Linked DNA regions of Lytechinus pictus. The protein of the gene in region 1 binds, or shares a complex with, the protein of each later gene. Links are inferred from orthologs where the notes say so. Each region holds a gene or a part of one and is shown in the gene's direction. Other genes may lie near its edges.

Evidence for each region.
Region 2: mitochondrial import inner membrane translocase subunit Tim22-like (region 1) and acylglycerol kinase, mitochondrial-like share a complex: the UniProt entries of both Homo sapiens proteins name them as parts of the TIM22 complex. The link is inferred for Lytechinus pictus from reciprocal best matches to the Homo sapiens genes TIMM22 and AGK.
Region 3: mitochondrial import inner membrane translocase subunit Tim22-like (region 1) and mitochondrial import inner membrane translocase subunit Tim29-like share a complex: the UniProt entries of both Homo sapiens proteins name them as parts of the TIM22 complex. The link is inferred for Lytechinus pictus from reciprocal best matches to the Homo sapiens genes TIMM22 and TIMM29.
Region 4: the proteins of mitochondrial import inner membrane translocase subunit Tim22-like (region 1) and mitochondrial import inner membrane translocase subunit Tim10-B-like are in contact, whole or in part, in a cryo-EM structure (PDB 7CGP), measured with the Homo sapiens proteins. The link is inferred for Lytechinus pictus from reciprocal best matches to the Homo sapiens genes TIMM22 and TIMM10. Residues at the interface, in NP_037469.2 of Homo sapiens: Tyr25, Ser26, Leu28, Leu29, Gln30, Tyr31, Leu32, Val33, Arg40, Leu42, Leu47, Gly48, Glu67, Glu144, Ser145, Tyr146, Gly148, Ser150; in NP_036588.1 of Homo sapiens: Pro3, Ala6, Gln7, Leu9, Ala10, Ala11, Leu13, Glu14, Val15, Met17, Met18, Ala19, Tyr22, Ser44, Lys45, Gly46, Glu47, Arg53, His62, Glu63, Gly66, Leu69, Thr70, Ser73, Met74.

What each region holds. Positions count from the first base shown.
Region 1 is NC_087246.1:19,694,183-19,701,781, forward strand, and holds the start of mitochondrial import inner membrane translocase subunit Tim22-like, read left to right. Parts: upstream 1-4,590; 5' UTR 4,591-4,631; coding exon 4,632-4,875; intron 4,876-7,599. UniProt on the Homo sapiens protein: Essential core component of the TIM22 complex, a complex that mediates the import and insertion of multi-pass transmembrane proteins into the mitochondrial inner membrane. In the TIM22 complex, it constitutes the voltage-activated and signal-gated channel.
Region 2 is NW_026974140.1:1,665,070-1,673,063, reverse strand, and holds the start of acylglycerol kinase, mitochondrial-like, read left to right. Parts: upstream 1-4,985; 5' UTR 4,986-5,020; intron 5,021-5,668; 5' UTR 5,669-5,748; intron 5,749-7,994. UniProt on the Homo sapiens protein: Lipid kinase that can phosphorylate both monoacylglycerol and diacylglycerol to form lysophosphatidic acid (LPA) and phosphatidic acid (PA), respectively. Does not phosphorylate sphingosine. Phosphorylates ceramide.
Region 3 is NC_087255.1:1,813,099-1,820,703, reverse strand, and holds the start of mitochondrial import inner membrane translocase subunit Tim29-like, read left to right. Parts: upstream 1-4,596; 5' UTR 4,597-4,615; coding exon 4,616-4,715; intron 4,716-7,605. Other genes in the region: calcium homeostasis endoplasmic reticulum protein-like, read right to left, coding at 1-12. UniProt on the Homo sapiens protein: Component of the TIM22 complex, a complex that mediates the import and insertion of multi-pass transmembrane proteins into the mitochondrial inner membrane.
Region 4 is NC_087246.1:16,543,404-16,551,171, forward strand, and holds the start of mitochondrial import inner membrane translocase subunit Tim10-B-like, read left to right. Parts: upstream 1-4,750; 5' UTR 4,751-5,093; coding exon 5,094-5,164; intron 5,165-5,822; coding exon 5,823-6,015; 3' UTR 6,016-7,768.

The sequences.
Region 1 (7,599 bases):
GATGAATGCATTGACTGACATACATATTTAAGTGCATCCAATCATGGACCTATACTAGCAAATATATCCATGATCCAATATATATATACTCTTTATGAAAGGGTGGTAATGGGTAAAACGAAGAGTGACAGTGTTTTTAAAAAAGAGTGGAAAACGGGGTAACTTCTCGGCCCTTTTCCATCCTTTTCCCATTTGTGTTTTTAGAGTATACATAATCATTATTATTACAAAACTTGAAAACTTATTTTTCATTCACTCGTTTTGATTGAATGATAGATTGATTGTCGTTCAAACTCTGCTTGTATCATTTACTCATCTTATTCCTTTTGGGATCATTTTGTGGGTACTTTAATTTCGTTTGGTTGTAATCGCAAATAATATTATACTGATGTACAGGCCTCCTCCAAATGCTTTGCCAGGGTATAGGGGGTAAGACGACTTCAATGTGTATGATATCACTATTTTCTCGATGGAATGACGGGTGTATAAAAAGCACGTCAGTATTATATACCTTTCGGATTTTCTTTTCTATTCTGTACTTTTTTAGGGGGTGTGATTTTTTCTCTCTTTTGGGGGGCGGGGGCGGTCCCTGTTTTTCATTTTACTATAGGATTTGCCGGCCATTATCCATCTCCTATTCAACTTCGCCGGATTTAGTGCTTTCAGAGATAACTTGATCTTGTATTCCATTTTCTCGTTTTCAAACAATATGGAGTTTGAGCTAGACTGTATATTCATTGAATTAGAATAAAGTGTGCTTGTTTACCTAAATTTTCATTCCATTTGGAGTAACTAGTTTTTGCATTTTAATTGATAGCATTCACAATGTAGCATCATGTGCGCTTTAATTGGTCAAAATTCATTTCGGTTGCCTTTTGTTTGAAATGCCCTGCATGTATAGGCCTATACTTTGTTCAAAATTATATTATGTGTATCATGCTTTGTACTATGTCTATTATATCATTGTTAAAAATGTTAATGCAAATATATGCCCTATTTCGGAGGGAAATAACAAAAAACTTTTAAAAAAAATTATTATCATGACAATTCATTATTTGTCACAACTTGATATATAATTTAGGCATGTATATCGGATATATTGGGTATTTCCGTGCAAAAATGCAATATACCTTGATTTTACCCTAAGTACACCCACAAATAATTGTCCAGAATATGAGATATAATAGCAAACATGCATTTTAATGTTTTGAAAATTACTAAACCTATAAACCTATTGCGCATATACATTCGTAATTCCGAAGCTTCGTTATTCCGAAGGTTCGGATATTCCGAAGGTTCGTTATTCCGAAGGTTCGTATTTCCGAAGGTTCGTAATTCCGAAGGTTCGTTAGTCCGAAAACGAAATGAGGTTCGTAATTCCGAAGGTTCGTTAGTCCGAAAACGAAGTGAGGTTCGCAATTCCGAAGGTTCGTTAATCCGAAAACGAAATGAGGTTCGTGATTCCGAAGATTCGTTAGTCCGAAAACTAATGATTAACGAACCTTATTTCGTTTTCGGACTAACGAACCTTCGGAACAACGAACCTTATTTCGTTTTCGGATTAACGAACCTTCGGAACAACGAACCTTATTTCGTTTTCGGATTGACGAACCTTCGGAACATCGAACCTTATTTCGTTTTCGGATTAACGAACCTTCGGAATAACGAACCTTCGGAATAACGCCACAAATGTTCGGATTAACGAACCCTTTTACGTTTTCGGATTAACGAACATCGAGGTATTGGCAATTTACGTGTTTCGGAATTACGAACCTTCGGAATTACGAAGTGTAACCGTATTATTGCACCCCCCTGCATTCCTATAACTTTAATATAAGCACATTCCGAAATGTCAAGTGCGAAATGCTAAAAAAAAAAAGGGGGGGACACGGGCCGGCTGTGCCCCCCCCCCCCCGATCCGCCAGTGAGTCATGTAGATCTAGACGCCTACAGACTTATAGGTTGATGAATTCTGATCAGAAATGGCCAGTTAAATTTATCGGATGACGACTTTAAACTAAGTCCGCTCATTATCATACGTGATTTATATCTCTATCGGCTACCTGTGAAACACCATCCATAATAATGTCAGAGAAGAATTATTATTAGTGAAGCGACATTAGAATTGAAGGTGATCAAAAGTCATGATATGCAAATTAAACAAGCAGCCCTCGGCTAGGGACGGCTCCACACTGAGGGGGGAGCATGAAGCATTTTAATTAGTGGGAAAAATAAGAAAACAGATGAGACGGAAGAAAGGGAAAGAAGAAATATATATATTAAAAATGTTCTTGACCGTGTAACTACATAATATACCCATATTAAGAGGGGGTTGGGGTGGTTGGGGTGCAGGTTTGGGGATATGAAGAACAATTAGGAGTTTTTGTTAATGGAATTTAATATCCGGTCCTAAGAGAAAGATGATAAATCTGAGGTCAGCAAAAGAGATTGGTTATAAACCGTCATAAAAGTTGTCAAATTTTACTTTAAAAATACATACCCTAATGTGATTCCAGCACTCAGAGCGGCGAAAATTGTAAGATGATTGTACGATGAGATAAGGATAAAACATTCAGTTTATCTTTCCAATCGATCCGTATAATGAACTTAAAGGGATAATTCCTCGTTATGATGAAGATACATCTGACTGGCTCATTACCATGGCAACATACTCTCCACTAAACGGGAGTCCTCGTTGTTCCTGTGTTGAGTAATCCGGCTTTGTGTTTTTTATTTAGCTAAAGATCATGGTTATTGGTGTTATTATGTATGTCCTCTGTCTTTAGCGAGCTGGTACTGGTAGTCATATTGATAGATGTCGGTAGAACACACTCATCAAAAGCCGGACTCAATAGAGGTATGACGCGAAGACAGCACCGAAGGTCATGAAAAATTGTCGCCAGCTCCCGAGTAACGCCGTAAATGGAATTTACTTATTATTGCTCACCGACCGCTTGCGCGTGTGATAGTAAATTTCACTCTGCTAACTCAAGATGACGTCACAACATTTCCCTCTGACATTTTCTCACTTTTGTTTAGTTATAAGTCAAGGTCAATTCGTGACTCTAGTATAGATCGGAGCAGGGGCGGATCCAGGATTTTCCAAAGGGGGGTGGCACATTTTCCCATGAAAATTTGACAAGCAAAAAAAAAGAAAAAATGAAAAGGTTTTCACCTAAAATCGGAAGGCATTTCTTTGAAAAGAAAGAAGAAAAAGAAAAAAAAAGTTCTCACTTTCAATAGGGGGGCACACTTGGGTAAAGCGGTATTACAAATTTGATCATGGCTCTCAAAAGGGGGCACGTGCCTGCTGTTCCCCCCCCCCCCTGGATCCGCCAGTGTATCGGAGATATTTCAGGATTGTGTGCCAATTAAGGTGACGATTATTTTCTGAGAATATATACTCCCGTCTATTGAATAAAAATCGTGTCGCAGTATGGAGCAGGTGGGCGGATCCATGCAGGATGATCGAGGGAGCAAATGTATGATAAAAGTGTCAATTTCAAAGGAAAGATTCTTATAATATAAACTCATTATTAAAAGGTAAATAGGCATGACAGGACCCCGGACAGAACCTACCATTATATTTGACAAATTGTGGGCACTCGCAGTCAGTGGGACTTCATCCCTCGAGGGTTTTTCAAATGAAGTAGTGCCCCGTTTGGTCAAGGGGCTGTGCTTTCAGTGATGACCATTTTTTTGTTGCTTACTGCTATATGGTGAGAAAGACATTTTACCTTTATTTTTGCTCTTAAAAATATGTTGTAGAAAAATATGCCCCTCCCCTAAGACTCCTAGATCCGGCCGCGGCAAGCATTGCCCTGCTGCCACCAGTGACCTGTGTCCCATGACCTCGATGGGAGTCACCCGTTTTTCAAGGTCTTCTCTTCCGTTTACCCCTCCCCATTGGCCTCCACACACTCATCACATATGAGCTTCTATTCCCCCCCCCCCCTTTGTTTTCCACATTTTTTGTATTGTATTTCCTTTTCTTTTCCCTTCTCAGCTCATTTTCTACCACACTTTCTCCTTATCTTATCTGTTTCTTTACTTATAATTTTTCTTGATATATTTCAATCTTTCCATGTGTCTTTGTTTGTTTTTTTTTTTGCTTTTTTTTAACTTTAATTCTTTTTTTGCCTTATTTGTCTTGTTGGGGGCGTGTTTTTTTTTTCTCTTTTATTATGAAGATTCGAGCAAGTGAACCGTAGATATTATGGATGTTAATCTGCAGAGAATGGATAAGGTTTTGGGGGGTCTTTACACAACCCTGTATCAATTAACTTATGAATCCATGATAGAGGCCTGACGGGCGTGGTGATGGCAATAGGCGTTTAGTGATGATGCATGCCTTGATGATGATGATGATAATGAGGAGGAGGAGGAGGATGATGATGTTGTTGATGATGATGATGATATGATGATACATGTATGATGATGTTGATGATGATGATGATGATACTGATGCCGGTCTCTGCCAATGACTTGGATACAGATTCCCTCTCATTCATGAAAGTGAACAGAATGATTAATTTGTGCTAGTCTTGTGTGACGGTTGTGGCTAAAAAATTTAATCAGGGTCTGTACTGTACCTGCAGACTATCGATCCATGCTGCGCGCACTGTGTTAAGATGGCGGCGCCCAGTAGTCAAACACATGACGACGGAGGAGCAGGTTTAATTAAAAATGAATCAGATCCTGGAGATTTACGTTTATTAAATGTGATGGAAGCATTAGTTGGGGAAAATAAGAAGCGGTTTAATTCAGAGATGAGGCAATATGGCCTTCCCCTTCCACCTAAATCGCCTGAGGAACAAACGATTGAACGGGTAATGGAAAGCTGCACATTCAAGACAGTCATCAGCGGTGTTCTCGGTACGTATCTCCCCATACCTCCGGCAGGGCAGGGCGTAGACCAAAAGCTTCGGTCTCTGTTATGTTGGTTGTTCAGCTGAACTCCGTTGGCTTCACTCACCAAATACAGAGACCGAAGTTCTACTTCTAGCGCGATCTGTACAGGGGACTCAATGGCCATATGTTTATGTACTTAAGATCGGATAAAACGGGGAAGTGAATTTGCGCGACAGCCGAGGTAAGTCACTGTTTTTGTTCTTTTTAACTTGATTTTTCTCTGTTTTTTGGCAATTAATGCCAAGAGGGAATATTCATTTGCGTTTTGGTCGGGTTAATTTTCAAAATTTTTATTCATTAAAGACAAAAATTGAAGAGCCCCGATGGGGGGATTTTGCATTGCAAGTCCCCTAATGGTGGCTGCACGCTAGCGAGCCGTCTGTGTATGAGGAGAAATTAAAAAAAAAAAAAAAAAGTTAAAAAACTCCTCGAAACAGACGGCTGCCAGCTGTCTAGGCAGGGCGTAGACAGGAATAACCGTCGTTTCTGGGGATTTATTCAACAATTTCTGACATTTTACTGTAATCCCCATTTACCGACGGTAGGGTGTACGTGTGGGCTCGCATGTGTTCTCATTCCCTCCCTTTTGTCAATTCACAGTCCAAAGTTTGATGTAATTTTACACATCGAATTTACAATCTAAGGATGTATAAACAACAAACTTTTAAAATTCAATATTTTAATATTTAAATACTTTAAACGATATAGATGAAAAAGGCATGAAAAATATACTTTACCGATGTTTAATTGGGTTGAACACGATAAAAATGGTCAAAATGGCAGCCAAACTATAAAATATTTACAAACGAACGTCAACAATCACGAATGTGATATCGATATTGCTTTCGATATTATACGATCTGCTCCATATGCGATCGAAACCGAAGATAAACGATACTAGTTATACTAGTACTAGTACTAGTTATAATCGCGATATATCGATTCGAGACATTAAGTTAATAACGATAATGACGTCATTCAAGATGGCAACTTGCAAGAAAAACCGTCAGGTCAGGTGAAAATGTCTTAGATGACAGATTTCTCAATCATCCATAGGATTTTTTTCAATAACTCCGGCCCAAGGTATGCAATTACTTAAGTTATTTATATTTCCCTGATAATGGAAACCATGAAACTTTCAATTTTGCTTAAAAAACAGTTTTAAATCGCGATCTATAAAACGCTAGTTCACTATACGTTGGCTGTAGGTACGGGGCCCCATCCCCTTCAGTCTATGTATGGTGAGTGGAGCCAACGTAGTTCAGCGGAACAACCAAAATACAGAGACTGAAGCTTTTGGTCTAGGCAGGGCGTAGACAGCTGGCAGCCGTCTGTTTCGAGGAGTTTTTTAACTTTTTTTTTTTTTTTAATTTCTCCTCGTACACAGACGGCTCGCTAGCGTGCAGCCACCATTAGGGGACTTGCAATGCAAAATCCCCCCGTCGGGGCTCTTCAATTTTTGGCTTTAATGAATAAAAATTTTGAAAATTAATGCGACCAAAATGCAAATTAATATTCCCTCTTGGCATTAATTGCCAAAAAACAGAGAAAAATCAAGTTAAAAGGAACAAAAACAGTGACTTACCTCGGCTGTCGCGCAAATTCATTTCCCCGTTTTATCAGATCTTAAGTACATAAATATATGGCCATTGAGTCCCCTGTACAGATCGCGCTAGAACTTCGGTCTCTGTATTTGGTGAGTGAAGCCAACGGAGTTCAGCTGAACAACCAACATAACAGAGACCGAAGCTTTTGGTCTAGGCAGGGCGAGCCAGGGGCACCCATGGGTTCATATCGTCTCGCGTGCGAAGGAATATCAGTCATAAACTCATATTCACACGACACACACGACACATTGAAAATAGATTGGGCTTTTGCCCACATAAAATATCACGCATAATCTGGTATTTCACATTCTGCTATGACACTTACCGAATCATTTAGATCCTTCCGTGACTTCTCCTTGAAGTTTCTTTAAAAAAATATGTATATTTTCTTGATCTTTAGTGAAGATTTCACGGAGATAAAAATTGGTTGGTGTGGATATCAATTTTCTCCTAAAGAGGGCGCGCGATTTATATTCATATCAAAGACACGACAAGGGAAAGACTAGGCACCTACACTATTTTACACGCAAATCCACGCAAGGCATTACGCGAAGTCCGTGAAGTGTCCAATCTTTTCATTGTATAGACTTTGGTATACCGTATTATTGACGTTCATTAAAGCTTGTACTGCTGGTTTCGTTACAGGCATGTGTATTTTTTTCAATTTTATTTTATTAGTCATCGTTTTAAATTGATTGCAAAAAAGTGTTATCATCGCCAATAGTAATCTTGAATTATATTTTTTAAGGTATTTCATTTATTGGTGCCCATAATTAGTAAATTAATCATAAGAATTGCACATTCAAAAAATTTAGACACAGTTATAAAATTACCGAGGAGCTGAATCAAGGTTGTGAAATTTATTAGCGCCACCAATGGGCTTCCTTGTATTTCCGTAGAAGAGACAAACGAAGTCACTTGCTAGGCCGAGGTAAGCGAAATTTGCTCTTTTTATCATAAAATAATTTCAAAATCATATGTATAATTTTTGTATGTATTGCTACTTACCGGAAAGAGCCCCGGTGCGTAGCGAGAAGGAGTTTCGGCAAATATTACTTCACTGTCTTCAGCAATGAAGCGA
Region 2 (7,994 bases), on another chromosome or scaffold:
TCACTCTCACAGCTAACCGTCCCTAGCCAGATCAAAAATCAACTGCGCCGTATGTGCTTGATACGTAAACCTTCAGACCTACGATATCGAACCACACCCTTATTTATTTGCATATTCAAATTAGGCCTAGGAAATATTTTCAAACGCCCTCTATAGTGAGGAAATAATAAAAAATCAAATAAATTTTCTTATTTATTCTGACACCTACCTTTGGAGTAACGATTTCTGCTGATCTTACTTGGAAATCACCCCGGGGGGGCACTCAGTATATAATGCATAGTGGGTATGTGCCGCGGAGGGGACCCCCATTTTTACACTTAAATTTCCGTTCCAAGGCATAGCATTTTTGTCTTATTGAGAAAAAGAAGAAAGAAAGCCGCTCCAAAGCATAGCATTTTCTTCTTATCGAGAAAAAAGAAGAAAGAAATCCGCTCCAAAGCTTTGCATATTTTCGTTACGCCGTTCCGGTCGCATTGATCTGCTACAATGAGCTGCAATTTTGGTGAAAAGCGGCCGCAGAGCGCTGTCCGACCATTGCCTCTGCGCGAGCGCACCCGGCGGAGGCCGCGCTAGCTGCATCATGCACGCATGCCTGTCTGTTCCATAGGGATGCATCATAGGAATGCATACGCACTCACACGCTGGCGATCCGTTCCAAGGTCCCCCGTTTTCACAAACATTTGTAGTTCCGAAGCCCGTTCCGAGGACCCTCCTTTTTACAATAAGCCCGCTCCAAGGCCCCCGTTTTTTGTCTCGCCCGCGGCACACCCCTACCACTTTTTTGGTCGAGTGCCCCCCCCCCCCCCCCGGGGAAATCACACTATCAGCGAATAGTCAGCAAAGCAAATAAGACTGCAGCTCTGATACCAAAGGGAAAGCTTACAAAGCTCTTGTTCGTCCACACCTGGAGTATGCGTCTGCTGTTACTGATCCCTACCAGGCTAGATACATCCATATGTTAGATAAAGTTCAGAGAAGAGCCGCTCGTTTTGTGATCAACGACTACAGTCGTAAGTCCAGTGTTTCCAGGATGCTAAAACAATTAGAGTGGGAAAGTCTTGTTGACAGCCGACTCAATGCCAGATTGAGCCAGTTCTACTTAATTCATAAGGGGGAATCTCCAGTAACGTCAACCAAACTCCACCTTAAAACTCTAGCCGTCCAAGTCGACGCTTCACACCAGATGCCTACAATATCATCAAATCCAGAACTGATAGGCACCTGTACTCATTCCTGCCCAGAACCATACGGGACTGGAACGACCTTCCCTTAGCCATTACATCAATGCAATCGCTTGACAAATTTAAGGCTGCTCTAAACTAATCAATTTCGCATCTGCACCCGACCACAGCATCATGGAACTTTCGTTCTGTTGCTGGGTACCCGTGATGATGATGAAGTGACGTATCATCGGCATACAATATAAAATGTGGTTCATGGCAAGAGTTACATTAACAATGTCTATTAAAAATAATAAAGGCTCAAGAATAGAACCTAGGGGCCTACCTGTTTTAATTTCTCCATGAAAGACGAATGGGTATTATTATAGACAGTAAATGTAATAAATATGACTTGAACCAATTAAAAGACACTCCTCTTATACCATTATATTGCAACTTTATCATGAGGAAGAGAATCAAAAGTCTTGGAGAGATCTTTAAAAATTCCCGTAACCTTAATACCGGCATTGAGCTCACTAATTATTTTATCATGAATTTCAATAAGTGCCATTTCCTATAGTAATTTTGACGGAAGCCGTATTGACTATCATATAATACATTGTGACATAATAAAAAATTGTATAGTCTGTTAAAAACCAATTTCTTTAAGATATTTGAGAAACATGGCAAAATTGATATTGGACAGTAGATGATGAATAGATTAGGATTCTCCTTTTTAAAAACGGGAACAACTTTTGATATTTTCAGTTTTGAAGGCGCAATTCCAGTTTAATACAAGAGAGGAATTAAAGATATGTAAGAGTGGGTCTATAATGAAAGGTAAAACATTCTTCACAACACATGGATCAATGTCATCAAATACGGTACTCTTAATATTAGATAGCGATTTACTGATATCTAATATTTCTTTTTTTGTAATCGGTTTAAAAAACATGAGAAAGTGGGTCACTCATATACATATCAAACAAATTAAAATGATCGTCATTGGGATCATTGTTTTTGCTCGATCTGATATTGACAAAATATTCATTTAAATTTTCTGCAATTTCACGAAGTCACTAATGTTACAATCATTGTGTAAAAAAGACTTTTGATTATCAGAATTATTTTTTTGTTTTCCCAAAATGTTATGGATAAGTTTCCACATTTTATTAGAATTTGTTTTCTAGGATTCAAACTTATCAAAATGATATTTTCTTTTCAACTGCCGGAGATTCAGGGTAACAGCATTTCGAATCTTTTTATATTTATCGTGATTAGCTTTCATAGAGTTTAGGTACAATTTATAACATTTATTTTTCTTTCTTGTAAGCTTCATCATATTGAGGGGAATCCGTGGCTTTCTATTCTGATAACGTTTACCAATATACTTTGTACTGATTAGCAGATACTTTATTACCTTGTATAACAAACATCTGCCAGATGTTTGTTATACAAGGTAATAAAGTTTAATGAGTCATACGCCATCTCCGGGTGGCTTTGTAGGTATACTTCTGACCAGTCCATGGTTGAAAGATCAGCACATAAATGATTAATGCTGCAGGGGATATCTTCCTGTAGGTGTGTACATGTACTTTTCATTGCTCATATATTACAATATCTGACAAATGTTACAAATGGAAGATAGGAAAGTGGTTGGGAATATCTGGTAAAAAGGCACCGACAAAGGGGAACGACTAAAAACATTTATGAATATATTGTCAATAATAGTTGATGATCTACTATTGGCTCGTTTAGGTCTGTCTTTAATGGAATAAAACCCCGATGAAATCACATGGTTCAAAAAATGAAGAAATAGAGGGCTTCCAGATTTTTTTAACAAATCGATGTTAAAGTTGCCCATTAAGAAGAAACATTATTTATATAACTATTATTCATCAGTCTATCAAAATATGAAGTAAATGCAGAAATACTCGATTTCGGTTTGCGATAAATTATCCCAATCATGATACTCTCCCCTGATTTGAACTCTATTTCAATGTGTAAATCATTGACACCTTCATAGTGCTCTGAAAAATCACACAATTTTTAATTCATATCCTCTCTAATAAATAGACCAACTCCACCACGGCCATTTAGTCGGTCACAATGTAGGAACTTCAATTGAAAAGGGGAAATGAGAGTTTGAGTTGATCCATGTTTCCGATATCCCAATCACTGAAAATCTAAATCTGATATTTGAGAGAAAACTGTGAATGTAATCGAAATTTTGAAATTAACTTCTTGCATTGAAATGGATCATGCTCAAGTGTCTTGTTACAGAGTTTTTGATAATTTCATTGAATTTGGAGGTCAAGTGATACTCACATTGGTAGAGTCAGTATATTCATCCTGGCCATTTTCCACAAGTTGTCGGTCTATATTATCTGTATCGACAGATTCTCTTGAAAAACGGAATAAAGATTCAAATTCCTAGTCATCAATTTCTGCAAATGGGAGAAGGTAAGTATCGTTTAAATTTACAGATGAGTTATTGATGGTTTCATCTTTATTCAAACTTGAGTCTATTATTACATCATTCGACATCATTAACAAGATGTAACAGGACAAGAACACAAAATCTTCACAAAACACAAATATGTGAAAAACAATTGACAAAAGGTAAAATACTATTTCAATCACTATCTGTTATTTATCTTTTAGAGTCAGATAATAAACCGACTGATATAAACCAATCTGAACTGGAATGCAACAGCATTGATTTTTCTCTCAGGTTACAGATTCTCCAAGTCTTTTTTTCTGTGATTGGTTTTACGAATTGACTTTCCATTCGTGGTAGTTAACAGGACTACGATTCGTCCATCAGAGGACCAAGTTCCATTGACCTTTGAGTGTTTCTTCGCAGCCCACAGAAGTTCCTTGTTTGTAGTCCTATTGCCTCCTCTATCCCCATACCAGTACCTTTCAGTTTCCTCCGTGCACGCAGGACACTGTTTCGGATTGGGTATGAACAAAACTTGGCAATAATGGCACGCGGCTTCTTGTTCTTCTGATTGATGCCTGCAGATCCAGAGTCTGAAGTTGGTTTATCACTCCTTGGAGCAGCACAATGCGATCTATTGAGATCGTTTACGGTTAGATGGACACCAAGACGCTCAGCAGCTGTTTGACAAATAGCTTCATCCATATTTTCTAATCCATTCTCCTTCACACCATAAAACTTTAGACAATTGCGGCAAGAATATTGTTAAAATGAGATATGATATTTACGGAATATTGGATGGCATTGAGTGGATGCGAAGAAATATTGTTCTTCAGCAAGTAACAATATTTCATCCCACGAAAATTGGTCATCCAATATTATTATTATTATTTAGAAATCCCCACAAAGCCAAACAAAGTAATGAAGCAAAACCATCATTTATGGCATTCCTGTAAATCATGAGCATGGGCGCCTGATTATTGTAATTTAAAAATCTTTAATAAAATAAAGATGCGCTAGCGTATAATGCAAGCGCATTTGAATTCAATAAATCGATGCTCCTTTACCACACCTGTCAACTAATACACAATACAATTTCATTGTGACATAACAATAGGTTCACGCGCACAATCATTTATTAACCAATGATAAGCTTGTGGGCGGGGCAAAACATTAATTTTCTCCAATATTTTCAATATTGGATGGTTTCCATAGGCATGCACGTTAAAAATCACTTAATATTTTGTCTCTTTAAAACAACCTCGCAAGACATCAAAAACATCTGCGCCTCTAAAACCCTACATCCAAATAATATTGTGAGTTATTCCTCTTTGTTGCCTTTATCATTCTGTTTGTTTGTTTTTATTCAATCTTTAGGGCAAATCTGTTGAGAACAGAGTACTGCAAACAAGCACAGGTAGCTATGCATTGAATATTATGATCTATTATAAATATTATTCACAGTCAGTTGCAACATTTGATAGTTTCATGACAGAACTAATCAACTAGTGTACTTTGTATGTATTGTGAGCTTTAAAGGTTTGCATGGTGGTAAGACTGAATGGAGAGTTTTTTTATAACACCATGTAGGTTGGTCCTTAAAAGGACTGCTGGTTTATCTTACTGACAGTAGCTCTGAAAAGAACTGTTATCCAGGACATTTCGAGCAGATAAGCGTTGCTTGTCGGCTATGTACATTGACAAAATAACTGAATGAATTTCAAATGAACTCTAAAAAGGGGTACATGTATACATGTAAAAATCAGTGTATGACTTTAGGGGATTGGGTGGTCAGTCAGTTGGTTGGTCTGTTACAGTACATATTTTACATTTCAAACCATTTTCTTAGTTTTCACCAAATGCTCATGAGACTGATACATGTACAAATTGGTCACAAAACATTTTTTTCTTTTGATGGGTTGGGTACTCGCTCTATTGCCACAAAAAGACAGATGGCAATAAACTGAGCTAAAATGCTACATTCTCGCTGGGGTATTATTATTTTCTTCAGTGGTATTTCGCATTGACATTAATCACATGATATCTTGATGTTCTGTGATTATAGGTGTATGGACAGCAACTGGAAAAGACTTTTAGCAAACCTGTCAAAGCAACTGTCTTTCTAAATCCAGCTGCTAGAAAAGGGTAAATATTATTTGTTATACAATCACTTTATAAATACTTGTATTTATCTGAGATGGTTCAACCAGCTCTCATTGGGTTTGTTTTTCACTGTTCGCTAGGTCATTTTATTTCGATTATTTTTCTGATATATACCCATACTTGGTGGCACATGTTGCCAAGATAATGGTCTGCATTGTCAAATCATGGTTCATTTCTTTTTAATATACTAAATACCTATTAAAGACCCTTCATTTTTGTCTCACCTGCATAGCAGAGTGAGACTATAGGCGCCGCTTTTCCGACGGCGGCGGCGACGGCGGCGTCAACACCAAATCTTAACCTGAGGTTAAGTTTTTGAAATGACAGCATAACTTAGAAAGTATATGGACCTAGTTCATGAAACTTGGCCATAAGGTTAATCAAGTATTACTGAACATCCTGCCTGAGTTTCATGTCACATGACCAAGGTCAAAGGTCATTTAGGGTCAATGAACTTAGACCATGTTGGGGGAATCAACATCAAAATCTTAACCTAAGGTTAAGTTTTTGAAATGTCATCATAACTTAGAAAATATATGGACCTAGTTCATGAAACTTATACATAAGGTTAATCAAGTATCACTGAACATCCTGCATGAGTTTCACATCACATGACCAAGGTCAAAGGTCATTTAGGGTCAATGAACTTTGGCCGAATTGGGGGTATCTGTTGAATTACCATCATAACTTTGAAAGTTTATGGATCTGATTCATGAAACTTGGACATAATAGTAATCAAGTATTACTGAACATCCTGTGCAAGTTTCAGGTCACATGATCAAGGTCAAAGGTCATTTAGGGTCAATGAACTTTGGCCAAATTGGGGTATTTGTTGAATTACAGCCATAAATTTGAAAGTGTGTTGGTCTAGTTCATAAAACTTGGACATAATAGTAATCAAGTATCACTGAACATCCTGTGCGAGTTTCAGGTCACATGATCAAGGTCAAACAGGCGCGTAGCCAGGGGGGGCGGTGGGGGCGGTCGCCCCCCCCAAAACGTCCCAAAAAAGAAAAAAAGGAAGGGGAAAAAGAGAGGAGAAAAGGAAAGCGAAGGGAGGAAGGGGAAGAGAGGTTGCTTTGTGGGTTTTTCTTTTCATTCTTTATTTTTCTCTCAAAAGAATTAGTACCTTAACGAAACTCCTTCACTCTCGCTCTAAATTTATATATATATGAATTTTGCTTCCGCGCTTCGCGCGGTCAAATGACAATATTGCAGTTCTCCTTTCCCTCACCCTTTCTTTAACCCTGTCTTTCCACCTCGGTTATAGGGCTAGTGCGTTCCTTGCTACTTAAAGTTAAAATGTATACATTAGGGCATGGAATTAGAGTAAGATTAGGCCGAATTATATGAAGTTGTCTTTTTTTCCTTCAAATTGATCACGCAACATTCCGCACTTCTGGTCGGGTCGGCTCCCGGCGGGTAAAATCTTTATATCAAATGTTGCCGTCACCCCCATATAGGCAACTTCTCCCGCTTTAGCTTGTTAATAAACATTCATAATTTTGGGGTAAACAGGTTCCTAATTGAAAAAGAGGAAGGTATAAAATTCGTGTCGTATTAAATAAAAAAGTACAATATTTTTATCAAATTCGATGAAACTTCATGTCATGTCTCAGTTTGAAATTTTGAAAGACACTTAAGTTTCTTAATTGTTCAAATGCGAGCGCTTCAGGATGAGTCAAAGAAATTATTATTTTTATAATATAATTTCAATAAATCACAGAAGCTTCAACTTTTTGCGCTCTATTTTCCTTGTAATGAAGTTCAATAATCTTAGAAAATCAATAGAGCCGATGGGGGTATTGGAGATATCTGCATTTGACGTAACGTCCGCCCTTAGAAATTTCAGAGTTTCATTGCTGTGCGCGTGGAGGAATGTCTTCCTCCCGGCACCCTTCTTCTTCTCTGTTTTGCGAGTTAAAAATATGCACTGTCGCTAAATTGTTTGTAATCAAACTTTCCACGGGAATTCAATATACATGATATAACTAACTTGATACCCTTTTCCCGGGACCCTTTTCTTAAAAAACAATTGATAAAACGCTTTAGCTTCCGCGCTTCGCGCGGGGTAATTGTTATTTTAATTTCCTCCATTTATCCCTTTTAGTGCGTTCGAACATATCACAATCACTTTTCAAATCAATGTTCAAAATCAGAATATAGTCAACTGAATTGGAGCTGACGACAAGAGAGACGGCTCCTTTTCATTTTAATTTATGAAACAC
Region 3 (7,605 bases), on another chromosome or scaffold:
AGCCACTTCCATTTCCTGTCCTTTTAAATGGGATTTTGTCGTGTTTTTTATTCTCTCTGGAACTTGGGCTGTGGAGTATATACCGCCGCGCTCCTAGCTCGATCCGCAATTCAAAGATCTAGCCGACGGTTTTATGCTAGCTAGTCGTGTTGCCGTTTTGATACGGCAACACGACCTTAGCTGGAGGAAGAACACAAGAGAGATACGGTACTACCGGTATAGAGATTTGAATAACCCGGGGAGCGTTTCATCAACATTTCTTTCCGACAAGTTGTCAGATCTGACATCTCTCCTTCATTTTGATTGGCTGAGAAGCACTGTAACTATGGTAACTGTCAGATGAAATGGTCGGATAAAACGTCTGACATGTCCTTTCATATGCTCCCCAGTTTTATCTGATAGTTACCATAGTAACAGTGCCTCTCTGCCAATCAGAATCAAGGAAAGTTGTCAGATCTGACAACTTGGAGGACAAAAATGTTGATGAAACACTCCCCTGGGATTAAGGCGAAAGGGTTAAGGATTGATCAAATTAAATCACAAAAGGAAGTTTCAAAGATCAGACTTCAGTAATGATCCCATGATATTTTGGTCGCCATTGATCAATAGGGGACCATGGTTAATTCACTATACCTTGAATCCACAGATTTCCCCTCCTCTCTGCATTGCAAGGGGGAAATGGCAACTGAAATAAATATCTTTTTTCTCTATTTCACACTCCTTTTCGGTCATTTCTTTTCTCTCCCCCCCCCCCCCGGCCCCTCTCTCTTACATGGGCGGGAATCACAGGGGGACAGGGGGACGTGTCCCCCTACCAAAAATATAGTAGGGGGACACAATATCCAATGTCCCCCTACTATTTTTGGTCTTTTATGATGGAAAGAAATACATCATTCAAAATCGAAATAAAACATGTATTTTGGACGAGATGACCTTATAACTTTTTTAGTGATAACCTTTTTTTTTTGCTAGTCAAATTTATTTTCTTTTAAATGATCTTACATTTGAGGTGATAACCTTTTTCTTTATTTTTTTTAGTGTCAAATTTTCCAGCCCCTGGTCCCCCTACCTTTGGGGAGAGATTTCTGCCCCTTATATTTCTTTATCTCTCTTTTTTTATTTCCTTTCCCTTCTTTTCCTTCTCTCTTTATTTTTCTTTCCTCTTTTTTTTTCTATATGCTTTCACGACGGGGGATCCAGCTTTTGACAATGTCCATTATGAGATCCGAAGGAAAAGAAGAAAAAAAGGATTTAAAAGAGAATAATGAGGAAAAAGAAAAGATGGGCTTACTATATCATGACTGTATGAATTTTGAATCGTTTATCACGTAGGTCGAAAGATTATTAACTGTGAATCAACAAATGAAATGGATTTTTCACATGTATAGGGCCTACTTAACTCAAGTCTTAACATGTTGGAGACTTGGAGTGAAATTAATTTTTCTTGTAAATATACATCATCGCGGGACAGTTAAACCTGGGCGTTGTGGCGTGCGCCTGTAATCCAAGCTGTGGGGGAAGTTACAAATTTATGCAGAGGTTCGAGGTTCGAGCCCTGCATGGTCACGTATTTCGGATGGTGACGTTAAAGGTAGGTCCCAGACGTAAACAATCTAATATTTTTTATACACGTCTGACAAAACTCATACACACACACACACAGTTAAAACTGTTTATCGCCATTTTATGGGAAACATGGTTAGAATCAGAAGACGTGATACTATATATGCCCTAATTTGTAGCAATTATATATGCAATAAAGTCGAGGCATCCATGAAAACAACCGGTTAAAATGGAGATAAAAATGGGGCCCGGATGCATATTTCATAAGGAACGGTCTATTTGATGGATTTTTTTTTTTTTTTTATCTTTGATGGATTCCCTAAAACCCTCACCCGGTATCATTTCAATTATTTTCTGTTATGTTTACAATAAACTTTATGTCAGGGTGAATTTCCCCTGTAATGAATTACGTACAATAATTGGGATCCAAAGTGTGCTTCAAATTTGAATATTGTGGAAGAGCGATTTGACATGAGAAGGCAGTGTATGTATGTCCAGGAAAAAATAACAAATTCCCACTCAAGTGTTATCAATTCGGTGCAGGAGATCTAAAGTGTTATTTAAAAATGTTACCCTCTTTCCATTAGTCCAACATTATAATTCTAATTTTCTTCTCATAACCTTTCTTATTTAATTTACTGTACGTGGAGGGGTTTTTTGATTTTTTTGCGCGGGGTTTAAGACTGGCTTTTTTTACCTCAGCCATTTTTACCTCTGCCATTTTACCTCTGCCATTTTTACTTCTGCTATTTTTGCCTTTTTCGTTTTTCCCTCTGCCATTTTTACACCGAGCCTAATATTGCATTCATTACTTCTGGCATGATGATTGTCCATGTATATAGAACTCTTTCAAAAAGATTAGGTAGAACTTCTCAATTGCAAAATCAGGGGAGCGTTTCATCAACAATTTCGTTCGACAAGTTGTCAGATCTGAAACTTTTTCTTGATTTTGATTGGCTGAGAAGCAGTGTTACTATATGGTAACTGTCGGATAAGAGCGTTTCATGCAAGGATTTAATTCGGACATTCATCCGACAAGTCCCATTTTATCCGACAGTTACCATAGTAACAGTGTCTCTCAGCCAATCAGAATTGAAGAAAGATGTCAGATCGGACACTTGTCGGACAGAAAATTATGTTGATGTATAACGCCCCCCCTGCATGGACTTGACAGATAAAACGCCTGACAAGTCCTTTCCATAGAAAGGACTCTATGGTCCTTTCATGCATGGATTCAGCGCTCCCCTGAAATCCATCCTCGGCTAGCTCCGGGTCGGCATAAGTCAGTCGGTTAATTTGATTTATCTCTGATTATCAGCAAACATTTTTTCTCAGACCCTGAGAAAATGTACTTTAATAAATAATAAGATTGTTCATATGAATGAAGTATGCTAATTAATCTATGCATAAAATAGAGAATTTTCTCCAACTAACTATAAGACAGCCCCAAACAGTAAATTTTCTATTCACAGATTCTTTGTAGGATCCTGATCAAAATGTAATTTAAAACAAAATTCGGTATCGCATTTTTTTGTATTTTCTTAATTGTTTTTTAAATTGTTTATGTAGGCCTTTAAAAAAAATGTTTTGATTTTTTTTATTGCTTTCGATGGAAGTTTTTGTCGACTTGATTCTGATCATAAACAAAATAAAATTAATTGATTTCATTCAGTAAAAAGTATAAATAATGATACATTTATAAATATTGACTAAAACACAATTTGCATTGAATATGAATTCGCGTTTTTATAGTAATTACTGGTCTGGCATCCATGCACTTAGATTTTGTTGCGTATAATTTTGTACCCTTTTTGGGTTGAAACTAAAAAGAAAAGTATATTCCTGTAATAGCCAAAAAGTGAAAAAAACATCTTAAGAATTCAAGTTGAGGAAACATGCAGGGATAACACCTCATACATCTCGAAAATATGAAGCTTTTGATTTCGAATAAATAGCAGTTACATTTTCTCAATTTTTCCTTTTCTTTTTATCCCCTCCAATTAGGCCCTATTGCAAAAGGGGAGAGGATGTTATTTTTTCTCTAGGGGGAGTGGCACTGCGGCTTTGGGAGCGGAGAGGAGGCGGCTTTTGTAGCTGTTTATGTTATGGTAACTCCAATAGAACTCTAGAATAGGACAGCTTCAGTTGTTTGCTGATATACTTGTAATGCAAGGCTGGTACGAAATACCCTATTGTGGGGATCGAGGGTACGTGGGGTGGATGGGCAGCGTTATCGTCACTGCATCCAACGCAAGAGGGTGCGATATAATTAGCCAGATACGCCATGGCCCTGTGAAGCGGGGGTGCTGGTGCTGACGGCTAGCACCCCAAAAAATTTTCTTGTTGGTGCTGCGTGTGTTATTTTCCATATAGGCAGCAAAAGTCAAAGATTTGTAAACCTGATTGAAATCCTCCAAAACAGCCTGTTATCATATAGTTATATCGTCAAGATTCTCACAAGATAGGCCTATACCCTCTTGTGTCGGGTGCACAAGGTCACCACTTCCGTGTTTTAAAATTAGTAAGGTAATTAAATAGGGGCATCATACCCACTGAACTAGAATACGTATTTCTAGTTCAGTTATCATACCCCCCCCCCCCCCCGCATACCACACTCCCCACTCCGAGGCAGGGGGAGTGCATGACAAGCACATTTTTTTTACACACTTTTTTTTTAAACAAAATTTCATATTGGTTTCCTCCCCGGTCTGCTAACAGCATTATAATTACTCTTCCACTTAATATATTACACCCTCTTTTCTCTTCTTTTCACAAATAAGAACATGATCATTCCTATAGTCCATCTCTCAAATTGGTAGGCTCTTCTTTCCGTTTTGTTGTCTATCTTCACTTCACCTCGTTCCACTTTGATTTTTGTAAGTCAAATTTTTTTTTTTAATAATGAAAATTATTTAATTTTATAAAATACATTTAAATATTAATAATTGTAAAATTAGCTTAAAATCCTTTAAATAATTATTTCGTGCGTGTATATATATTTTTATTATATCTCTTTATTAATGTCTTGACAAAGACTTGGAATTTATTCAAGATGGCTGCGTCCATGAGACAAATGCTGTCGCGACTCTCTACCGCAAAAGAGGGATTGAAGGTTCCAGGACGTCTTAAAACGGGTCTCCCCAAAAAGATAGGTAAGATAAAAGATCATGGCATTATCCTGGTTAGACAGCTGGCAGCCGTCTGTTTCGAGGAGTTTTTTAACATTTTTTTCCCCTGATATTACTCACAGCTCAGTCCAGTGAGTCCACAGACGGCTCGCTATCGTCGACGTCGGGAGGTGGCTCCGGCCCGCGAAGGCGTGCCGGAGCCTAGTCTTGACTTGAGGACGCAATGATGATGACTTTTAAAATAATGAAATATACTTCTTCATCAATATACTTCTTCATCATTGACGTCAAGACGTCAATGATGAAGAAGTATATTTCATTATTTTAAAGTCATCATCATTGCGTCCTCAAGACTAGCCGGAGCCCAGGGCCAGGGGCCTGTTGCACGACGAGATGAGCGATACGTAGGAACGTCCTTGAGTCTTGACTCCTAGGACCATTCTTCCGAGAGAGGAAGATTGGCGACAAATCAGCGCTTTCCGTTTCACGAAGGCAATTTTGTCTTCCAAGCCCGCGACATCGTTTGATATCGATAGTATCGGAAAATTATAATTTAGTCTTCATCGCCACCTGGCTGAAGCTGAACCTTTTATTTCGGAATGACGACTTTTCATCAAATCATATATTTCAATAAATGGAGATCAAGTAATGTTTTATTTATTACTGATTGTAGAATTGATGTATGGAGCTTACTTTATGAGGTAAAAAGAGAAAAAAACTTTAAAGATTCACAAACTTAACTGGATAAAATTAAAAAAAATCACATATTTCCCTTATTTAGAACTCGGTGTCCTTTTAGTTTTAGAGACACCTTTCATTGATATTTCAACGAAAGAGATCCTTGTCCGACATAAAAATTGAATTAATTAAGTAATTTCGACATTGTATTAGGTTGATATTCTGATTTTTTTTATGGAATACTTATTCATAATGATAATTTTGCAAATTATGTGTTAAATGTTATTTGTTGAGGTGAAAATTGGGTTTGAATGGAGTAAACAAAATCGACGTGTCTGATTGTATGAGACTAAAAAGGAAAATATGAGAGGCTGTGTGTGAAAAATCTAATTTATTTATTTTATTTGTCAGATACCGGTATAACGCAAGAAATACAAATGTGAGTGTTAAGAGTATAAACATACCTTTGCATAATACCGAAGACAAGCAAAATATGAAAATTGCCGCTGCAAACATGTCCAAGTGGGTAAAGTAGTGCTTTTCAATAGAAAAATGTGTAAAATCAATCTGCAATGGAAAAAATACAGTTCAATGCTAACAATGACTAAGATCATTAATGTTGGTCATATTTAAATGATAACTTTATGGAAGTTTATATAAGAATATAAGCTTTAAGAATATAATATATGTATATTTTTAACATTTTAAAGTTGAGGAGTCAAGACTATATTTTGCTTTAACATGATATAGGGGCTGATAACGGACTTTCCATAATCTGATCTTTTATAGGTACAATGAACTTATCTTAATATGTAATGACTGATGGGTTCGTAAGCTATAGGCCTTATTTATATCTTAATTTCAATTAGCTACATGTATTTTGTTATTGCAGATTTTTTTTCCGTTCATCAACTCAAGTTAGCAACCCAACAATTAATATTCATTGATTGAAATTAATCTCAGCAAAAAAATATAATGAAAACGAAATGAAATATAAATAAATGATTTGCACGTTTATTTATATCATGTTTTTTTTTTGCTGAATGTTATAAACATGTTTTTTTACCATACCGTATTTTTAAAATTTGTTTTCATTTTTATTATCTAATGAGAAAGCATGAGGCGTCAGAGAGATTGCCGCCCATTTCAATATTTCAAGTTTAATTGAAAAAAACAAACTGGAAAATGGGTGGGGAAAAGACGGAGGGAGAATAAAAGGAAACATGCTAAAAAAATTATTTGGGCCTATAGTACCCGGAGAAGTTAAAATGACTTCCGCTTTTGGTCGTCTTGCTGTGCAAGAGTCGACAACCTGAAATTGATGACAACTAGCCCCGATATATAACAAATAACTTGGCGCCATCCCAGATAAAATGCATCAGACTGCAATCGAATGGAATGACCCCCAAAAATGTTTAAAGGGGATATGTCAGTGTGGCTTGCCGTAAACGCATTTTCTCTCAATGCCGACGGCGGGGGTGGTGTGCAAAGAAGAACATGCCTACGTAGGACATGTCTGGAGGTGTCTTTCCAAGGACCATTCTTCGTATCGCCCAAATCGGCTTTGTGAACCAGTTGAGCGATATCTCGTTCTTACGTAGAACAGTTCTACGAAAGACCCTTTCATGCAACAGGCCCCAGGACTCGTTCGTGTAATACGAGACGGACATATATTCTCCAAAATGGGGTAGAATGGGGTCGCAATAGCACTCAAAATAAAAGGGGAAAATATAAATTATGCACTTACCTCGATTATATGGAAGGTCTATCGTGAGACACATAATCCTGACATCGAGTGATCGAGGCACAATTAAACTGGACCCTCAAAAAAAAGGAAGAGTTCTGTCTTGTTCGTTCTCCTTCTGTCAAAATTGAAACCAAAATGGCCGATCGATACCAAAAACGAACGCGACAGAGGTCTAACTTTTCCTTTTTTTTTGAGGGTCCAGTTTGTGCCTCGTCGCGCGCCCTCGATGTCAGGATTCTGTGTCTCACGATAGACCTTCATCCATATAATCGAGGTTAGTGCATAATTTATATTTTCCCCTTTTATTTTGAGTGCTATTGCGACCCCATTCTGCCCCATTTTGGAGAGCATATGTCCGCCTCGTATTACACGGACGAGTCCTGGGCTCCGGCCCGCAAAGCGGGTCTGAGCTCCCTGGGTTAGCTATCGTGCAGCCACCATTAGGGGGTTAACAATTGATGCAAAATCCCCCGACAGGACTCATCGAAT
Region 4 (7,768 bases), about 3.2 Mb from region 1:
AAATGTCGGACAACTTCTTTCATAAAATATTTTTCTGGCATTATGGCTCGTTTTGATATTGTAAACAAGGAATTTTGTACACGGTCAACATTGGTCATTTTATTTTAGGTTGTAACTATTTTGAAGAGGATATCCTTCCATTACTTGTTTCTTTTCTAATCAAAGCTGAATTAGATCTACATTGTTTTCTTCTTTATTTCATTAATATATATGTATTATGTACATGTATTACAAACCTTATGTAAAAAATTGTGTACAGATTATGTAGTATTTCTCAAATACTGTTCTTCATTTTTGACCCTGCTGGTTGAGATGTGCTGTATTCTTTATGTTAAGTATGTCAAATTAGAACAGGGGCAAACAAGTTTTGTTCACAACAAAGTATGTTACAAGATATTCTATCTTTAAAATTAAAAAGAAATCAAGGCAAGGGGATATCTCCGAGTTTGTCAAATGTGCTGAACTCCATGTTTGGTGCTGATATTGTGAAGAATTTCAATAGTAAATTCTATATTTCAATATTTCATGAGGATATCTCTTGTTTAGATGGTGAAATAAGCACATGTGAAAAGGGTATGATGTAAATTTGACCAATCAAAATAACTATTTTTTATGGGTGATTAAATGGATGTGAACAAAATATTATTCTACTATCCCCTACCACCCTGAGACTTCCAAATGAAATGGATAGTAGTCATTAGTACCATACTTTTTTTTACTTTCTGTCAGTATAGATAAACAGGCAATGTCAGGGGGTTTTTTCACATGGGTAGGGCTAGCCATGGGAGATTTATTTAAAGGTCAAGTCCATCTCAGACAAAGGTTGATTTGAATCAAAAGAGACAAATCAAGCAAGCCTGTGCTGAAAATTTTATTAAAATAAGATGTAAAATAAGGAAGTTCTGACATTTTGAACTTTTGCTTATTTTTGTCAAAACAGTTCTATGCATAACTCAGTGATATGCAATTGAGACAGTTGATGTTGTTAACTCACAAATGCTTAATAACTTTTTTATTATATGAATTAAGCAACACTTTAAGTTTTCCAGATTGATAATAAGCATCCTCTTGATTGAACCATGAAAGATTAAGCCAGATGGCAGTTTCAAAAGTTTTGAGAGGACTTAAAATTTGTGTCACTTTGTAATGAGGAGAAAATTAAAATACTTTTTTTATATTCATATCATAAATTACAAAAGAAATAGTGATTGGATGATGTAAAAGGTTCCCTCATTTGCATAATGACCGGTATATGCAAATTACTGTCTTGTGAAATTACTCAAAATTTGTAAAATGTCATACTATACTTATTTTATTCTGATTTTGAATTTGATGAAATTTTCAGTATGAGTTCAGCAAGATTTTGTTTTTCTTTTTATTCAAATTGACTTGTTTGGGTGGACTTCCCCTTAGTTCCACATTTATGTGTTTGTATCCTCCAATTAAAGTCAAATCTAGTGAACCCCTTTTACTCCTGATTTTGGCTAGTCTCCTGTGCAAACCCCTCACTTGAGTTAAAGGTCTGAATGTGCAGCCTACATATTTACTGAAACAGCAAGTTTTATATATGCGAGTCTTCTGTGGAGACTCAATTGTTGATCAAAGCTTCAATTAGGGTCTGTGCCTGCAGACTAGATTAGGGCTATGTGGATTCTGAACATTTTTGTTGTGTTGTGGATTTTTCTTTATTGCCCCCTCTCAAAAATGAATACAACATGTGTTAATACATGTATATATGTTTTTTTCTAATTAAAACTTGCACAAGTTCACGAAAGCTAAGTGTTATGTTCATTTATCTGCATGGTTGCATGGGGTTTTGCATGATGTGCAAATTTCAATTTATTTTCAATTCAATATTCCAATAAAAAGCAATGCAGAGTATAGAATAGAGTGATAACACCATACAACAATGATAAGGCAAACAAAGGTATTAGAAAAATAGAATTTAAAGAAGATACATGTTCAATTGATTTGACTAAAAAGAATCGCCTCAACAAAAATCCCACTGACTGGCCTTTCGTTTCAGTTATATTAATTCCTTCGCATTCTATAAGGATATTTCAATGGGTACTAAACAATGGTACAGAAAAGCTGAGAATATTGGCAAACTAAATAAAAATGGTTTCAGTTCTGCCGTTTTGTCTACTGCCATTTTGTCCACTCACCATATGGTCTAATGTCATTTCGTCAGCCATCAGTTGGTCCACTATCCACATCGTCCAATTACCATTTTGTCCAATAGCCAGTTGGTCTAATAACCATTTTGTCTATTCTCATTTGGTCTAATTGCATTTTTTTGCCATTTGGTCCAATAGCCACTTTGTCCAATCTCATTAGGTCTATTACCATTTGGTCTAATAGCCAACTGGTCTAAAGGCAAATAATAATAATAATAATAATAATAATATAGAGTATTTCTAAAGCGCCAAATCCACATTGATTATGTGCTCAAGGCGCTGAAATATACTTGGTATATTATTATTACCCCGGCTGTAGCTGAGCGGCCATACAGGCGCTAAAGCATTCAAGGAATAAATCCCACCGGGTACCCATTCACCTCACCTGGGTCGAGTGCAGCACAAAGTGGATAAATTTCTTGCCGAAGGAAATTACGCCATGGCTGGGATTCGAACCCACGACCCTCTGTTTCAAAGTCCGAAGACAAATCCACTGGGCCACAACGCTCCACAATAAATAAATAAATAGTCTAATGACCACTTAGTCTACTTTCATTTTGTCTATTGTCCATTTGGCCTAATGCAGTTGGTCTACCATCACTTAGTCTAAACCCATTTTGTCTAAAAATCATTTGGTCTAATCACCAATAGGTTCAAATGCCATCTTGGCCAATCATTTCGTCCAACATTCATTTCATCTACAACCATAAATAGTCTTCTACTATAGCAGCCCTCTATGTGTACGGTGCCTGTGTATTGCTGACTCGCCTCCTGTAGCGCTCAGGATTTCTGATTAATACACACCTGTTTTTGTTATTTTGTTTTTGTATTTTTGGTTTTATTCACATGACTTCCTCTTATTTTACCTCTTTCCTTTTCTCCCCTCACCTACTTTTTTCTCCTCTTTTTTTTTCTTTTTGTGTGTGACTATTTGACTATGTATTGTTACTTTGATTTTGTTGTGCTTTGTGAACGGAAAATGAATAAATCTAAATCTAAATCTATTATAAATATTAATTACCATTCTTCTTATTATTATTACTATTATTTATTCATTTTTATTATTATTGTTATATGATGATGAATGATCGATGATTATCATTTTAATTGTTATATCCGACCAGAATTTTGAGTTACTTAGTGGGCTCATATACTGACAATAGAGCTTTTAAGGATTGTGTTAGTAAAAGGATATGTATCTCCTTAATCAAATAATTCAAGCACGAAGCGCGAGCTGAAAATTTTTGATATTCAGACCAGAAAAAAGGGGACATTTTAAGGACTGTTTTTAGGTTTTCATGAAGAGCAGACATATCTCACCAATCCGCGAATGCAGACCTAAGCACGACTGGAAATGTTTTCGGAGGCTATCACATTAAGTAGTCATGAAACAGAAGCATATGTCACTACATAAAATAGTAAAAGCTCGAAGTGCAAGGAAATATATTTGGTGTATATTGACTTGAAAACGGGATGTTTCAATACCATTTAGTGCCATTGAACAGGATGATCTATCTCATTAAACAGACAATGCGAGCACCAGGAGTGACGAACACATAGGCCCTAAGCAAATTGTGTTTCATACAGTTATGAAAAATATATCTTGTGTATAATATAATGCAATATATAATACAAATGTTAAATAATATAACATTAAAATAAAATACAATGATTTCTTCTTTCCCCACTACATTTCTCTTTCTTCCTCTTTTTCTCCTCCCCCTCCCCCGTTTTTTTTTTGCCAGCTGAAGGGGGTGGGGGCATGTGTTCATTCCATTCCTGATAGTAGTTATCATGATTTTTTAATTCATTTTTTATTTTCAATAATTTCAAGGTATATATATTTAAGTAATTTTGCCGCCTCTGCTCGGATAATGCAACGTATTTGTGTTTGACAAAATGGCTATTGGACCAATTAGCTATTAGACTAAATGGCTATTGGATGATTTGGGAATTGGAAGAAATTGGTTGTTAGACGAACTGATTACTAGTATCGGACCTAATGGTTGGTGGACAAAAAGATAATTAGACGAAATGGCAATTAAACGAATTGATAAGTAGACAATTTGAATATTGGACCAACTGATATTAGCCGACATGGCTATTGGACCAAATAAATGTTGGACGAACTGATTGATGGAAGAGTTGGCATTAGCCTAAATGGAATCAGACTAAATGGGTGGTAGACGAAATGGATATTCGACAAAATGACGACTGCTGGACGAAATGGGTGGTAGATGAAATATTGATTGACGAAATGGCATTTGACAAAATGAAGGTAGACCAGTGGGATGGCAGTAGACGAATTGGCAATTTAACATAAAAATATGTGTAGTAGCTAGCTCGACCCCTAGATAGCCCCCCCCCCCCCCCCCATAAATGCGTGAAAAGGGGCATATTAATCTTAAGTCATCACAGCTCCCATGCTTCTGTAGAAAAAAGTCTTTTATAAAAATAATATTCAACTATCCACTGTCATAAATTGAATTGAATTGAAATTGAATAAATCGCAGTTTGTTTTGAAATAAATGAGATGAGATGAGCAGCTCAGAGTAGCCTTTTTTCCAAATAATTACTTTTTTATTTGTGTAAGTGCGTTTACCATAAGAATTGCTTGGTCCACGTGCATACTAAACAAAATTGCAACGAATATTGAGAGGAGAATCGATCTTTGTATGTTTAATAGTTTCAATATCCGTCGATTATCATAATTTATACTAATTCGATTAATCATCTGAACCTAAACTGTAAAAAAATAAGGATATATTCATTTCGCCAGTGCCATCTTCGCTTCGGACTTTGCATCTGCTTGACGGACCGCTCGTCTCATTATCCGCCGCAACCTCGGCGTGGCAAAGACGGCACTGCGCTAGAGAGGAGACTTCACAATTCCTAGTCGAATAGACTTGAACAATCATGAATGAACAGCAGCAGCTTCAGCTCTTGGCTGAATTAGAAGTAGAAATGATGGCAGACATGTACAACAGGTTAGTACTGCTAATGTAAACATGGTAAAAGTAGTAAAAGTGCATGTGGCTGTTCTCCGAATCATATTTTCTTTGACATTATTATACTAGGCTGCTCCACATTATATAGAGTCTAATATTAATACTTTTAATACTAATAGTAATATATTAAAAATTCATCAACTCGAATACCAATTTTTGATAAATTGATTGTTGAAAAGTCTACCAATCCGTCTATGTAATCTTTTCTCATTTTGTAAAACGATGTTCTTGCGGGATGCAGCAAAAAATTATTATTTTTGACCGATAAATATCGCATGATAAAGTTACAATAGCCCCCTATCTCTTAAATTTTCTTGTATTTTAAGGAAGTAAGCAGAACTTTCAGAACTACCTTTTTCAATGTTTTTTCTCGATTAGTTATCTTGCGCACAGATATTTTTATGTGCCATTGTGATTGTCAACTTTACGCATCATAACTGTGATGTCAAACATGCTCATTCAAAGTTACAAAAAAATTACAAGAAAAGATACAAGAATGTCAGACTACGGATTTTATCTGAAGATACAAGATAAGACAATTTTCAGAATACGGCTCCAGATCCTATCGTCCTACATTTCATTATCTTATACCATAATTTCAACTAATTCTTAAAATGTATGTACTTTTCTTTTTTAGGATGACTGTTGCTTGTCAGAAGAAGTGTATTCCACCTACCTACAAAGAAGGTGACCTTTCTAAAGGTGAAGCTGTCTGCTTGGATCGCTGTGTTGCTAAGTATTTGGAGGTCCATGAGAGCATTGGTAAAAAATTGACTGAGAAGTCAGCCCAAGATGAGGCCATGATGAAACAAATGCAGGGACAGAGTTAGTGATGATCTCCAATCAGCCCAGGGCCCAGGTACATTAGAGATGCAATTCAATTGAATGTACAATTCATTGAATTGCTTTTAAAATGTTATAGGACCCAGATCAGATGTAACTTGTGGATGCAGTTATCTTGGCCACATATCAGCTTCATGAAAGCATTAACTATTAAGTCCAGAGGAGTTTGGTTTTCAGCAGTGGTCAAGGCAGGATATCGCCTGTTTGTAAGATCATATTTGAGAAGTTTAATTTGTAACTTGTCCAACGGGCTGAATGAAGGACAAGAGAATGATAACTGAGCCATGCAAGCCTCACCCACATTGAATTTGATTTTTTTTTTTTAATTAGAAAATTATGATAATACTCTGCTTTAGATTAAGATGCAACTTCTGTGACACAGAATCTGGTCAGTTTGTATATATGACTAGCATTCTCTTGCCTTGCATTTTTGCATCATGTTTGCAAAATTGCTATAGGTTTAGCAACGATGCAATATTTAGGTGCAATCACTCTGCAAGTGTTGCAATGATGTTATTATCCAGCGTGTTCTGTGCAGACTGCAGAGCACAGGATTGCATGGTAGATTTGAGAGGACAATATATTGACACTTTTGCTAAATGTCACAGAAGGTAAATCGCAGATTTAAAGCCATTGATATTGGCGGAATTGCGGGGGTAACAAAACTCTGTGTATCTAGAAAGGCATGTTCTGGAGAATTAAAAAGAAAATTATTCAGTTTCATTTGAGCTTATTCAGCTTTGCCAAAATTTCAAATTTTGTATTGTAGTCCATAGTGCATACAATTCCAAACTTCTGATAGTAAGCATTTTTTAATACAAGGGTGAGGCTTCAAAGTGAAAATCAATACTGTATTTTTCAAACATATGTTTCTAAAGATGGATAGGATAAAGTGACCATTTTCAATAAAATGAAAAAGTATCCTAAAACACCTGAGGTGAAAGATTTGATTCAGCATATAATATGAATAGGTTAAATTAACAATCAATATGTTGGGTTGTAATGGGTCCCGAGCCAAAAATCCTTGATTTTGGTATCAATAACCTTTCATGCATGGATCAAGTATCGGGATTAAATCTTTGTTAAGAGATTTTGATATGAGAGTTAACTTCATAAGTGTTAAACAAATAGGGCTACATGTATGTACAGTGGTGTACATCTGCCATCTCGTCAATATTTAATTTGACAAAGAATTAGTTTTTGGAAACTTGGGTAATTTTCACTACACTTTTGTAAGATTGGTATGTATATTTGTCTTTTACCAAAGCTTTAATTATACCATGACTGTTTACATATCATCAGTGATACTAATCACTATAAAAGAATGATCATCTGAATGTACTTGACTGACTGGTATAGGCACACTTGGCATGTTAAGAAAATTGATGTTTGTTGAAATTTTATTCTTGCCAAAGTTGCCATTGATACTCTTAACAATTTACGAGTGAGCAACTACCATGGTGACAGCCAATATTCCATGGTTGGATAGCAAAATTATCACAAAAGTAACTTTGATGCAACTACCAAAAGATAAAAGCAGTTACGGGCAGATTCATGATTTCTTAAAATGTGGAGAGGGGCACAGGCTGTAGGTCAAATCAATATTCTACCAAATTTATGAAGAGACCCCCCCCCCCTCAAAAAAATAATAAATAAATAAAAGGGGGAGGGACTGGTCTCGCTCATCTCATAAAAGGGCGTGCACAACATACATTTTTAAAAGAGGATGACTGCTCTCTT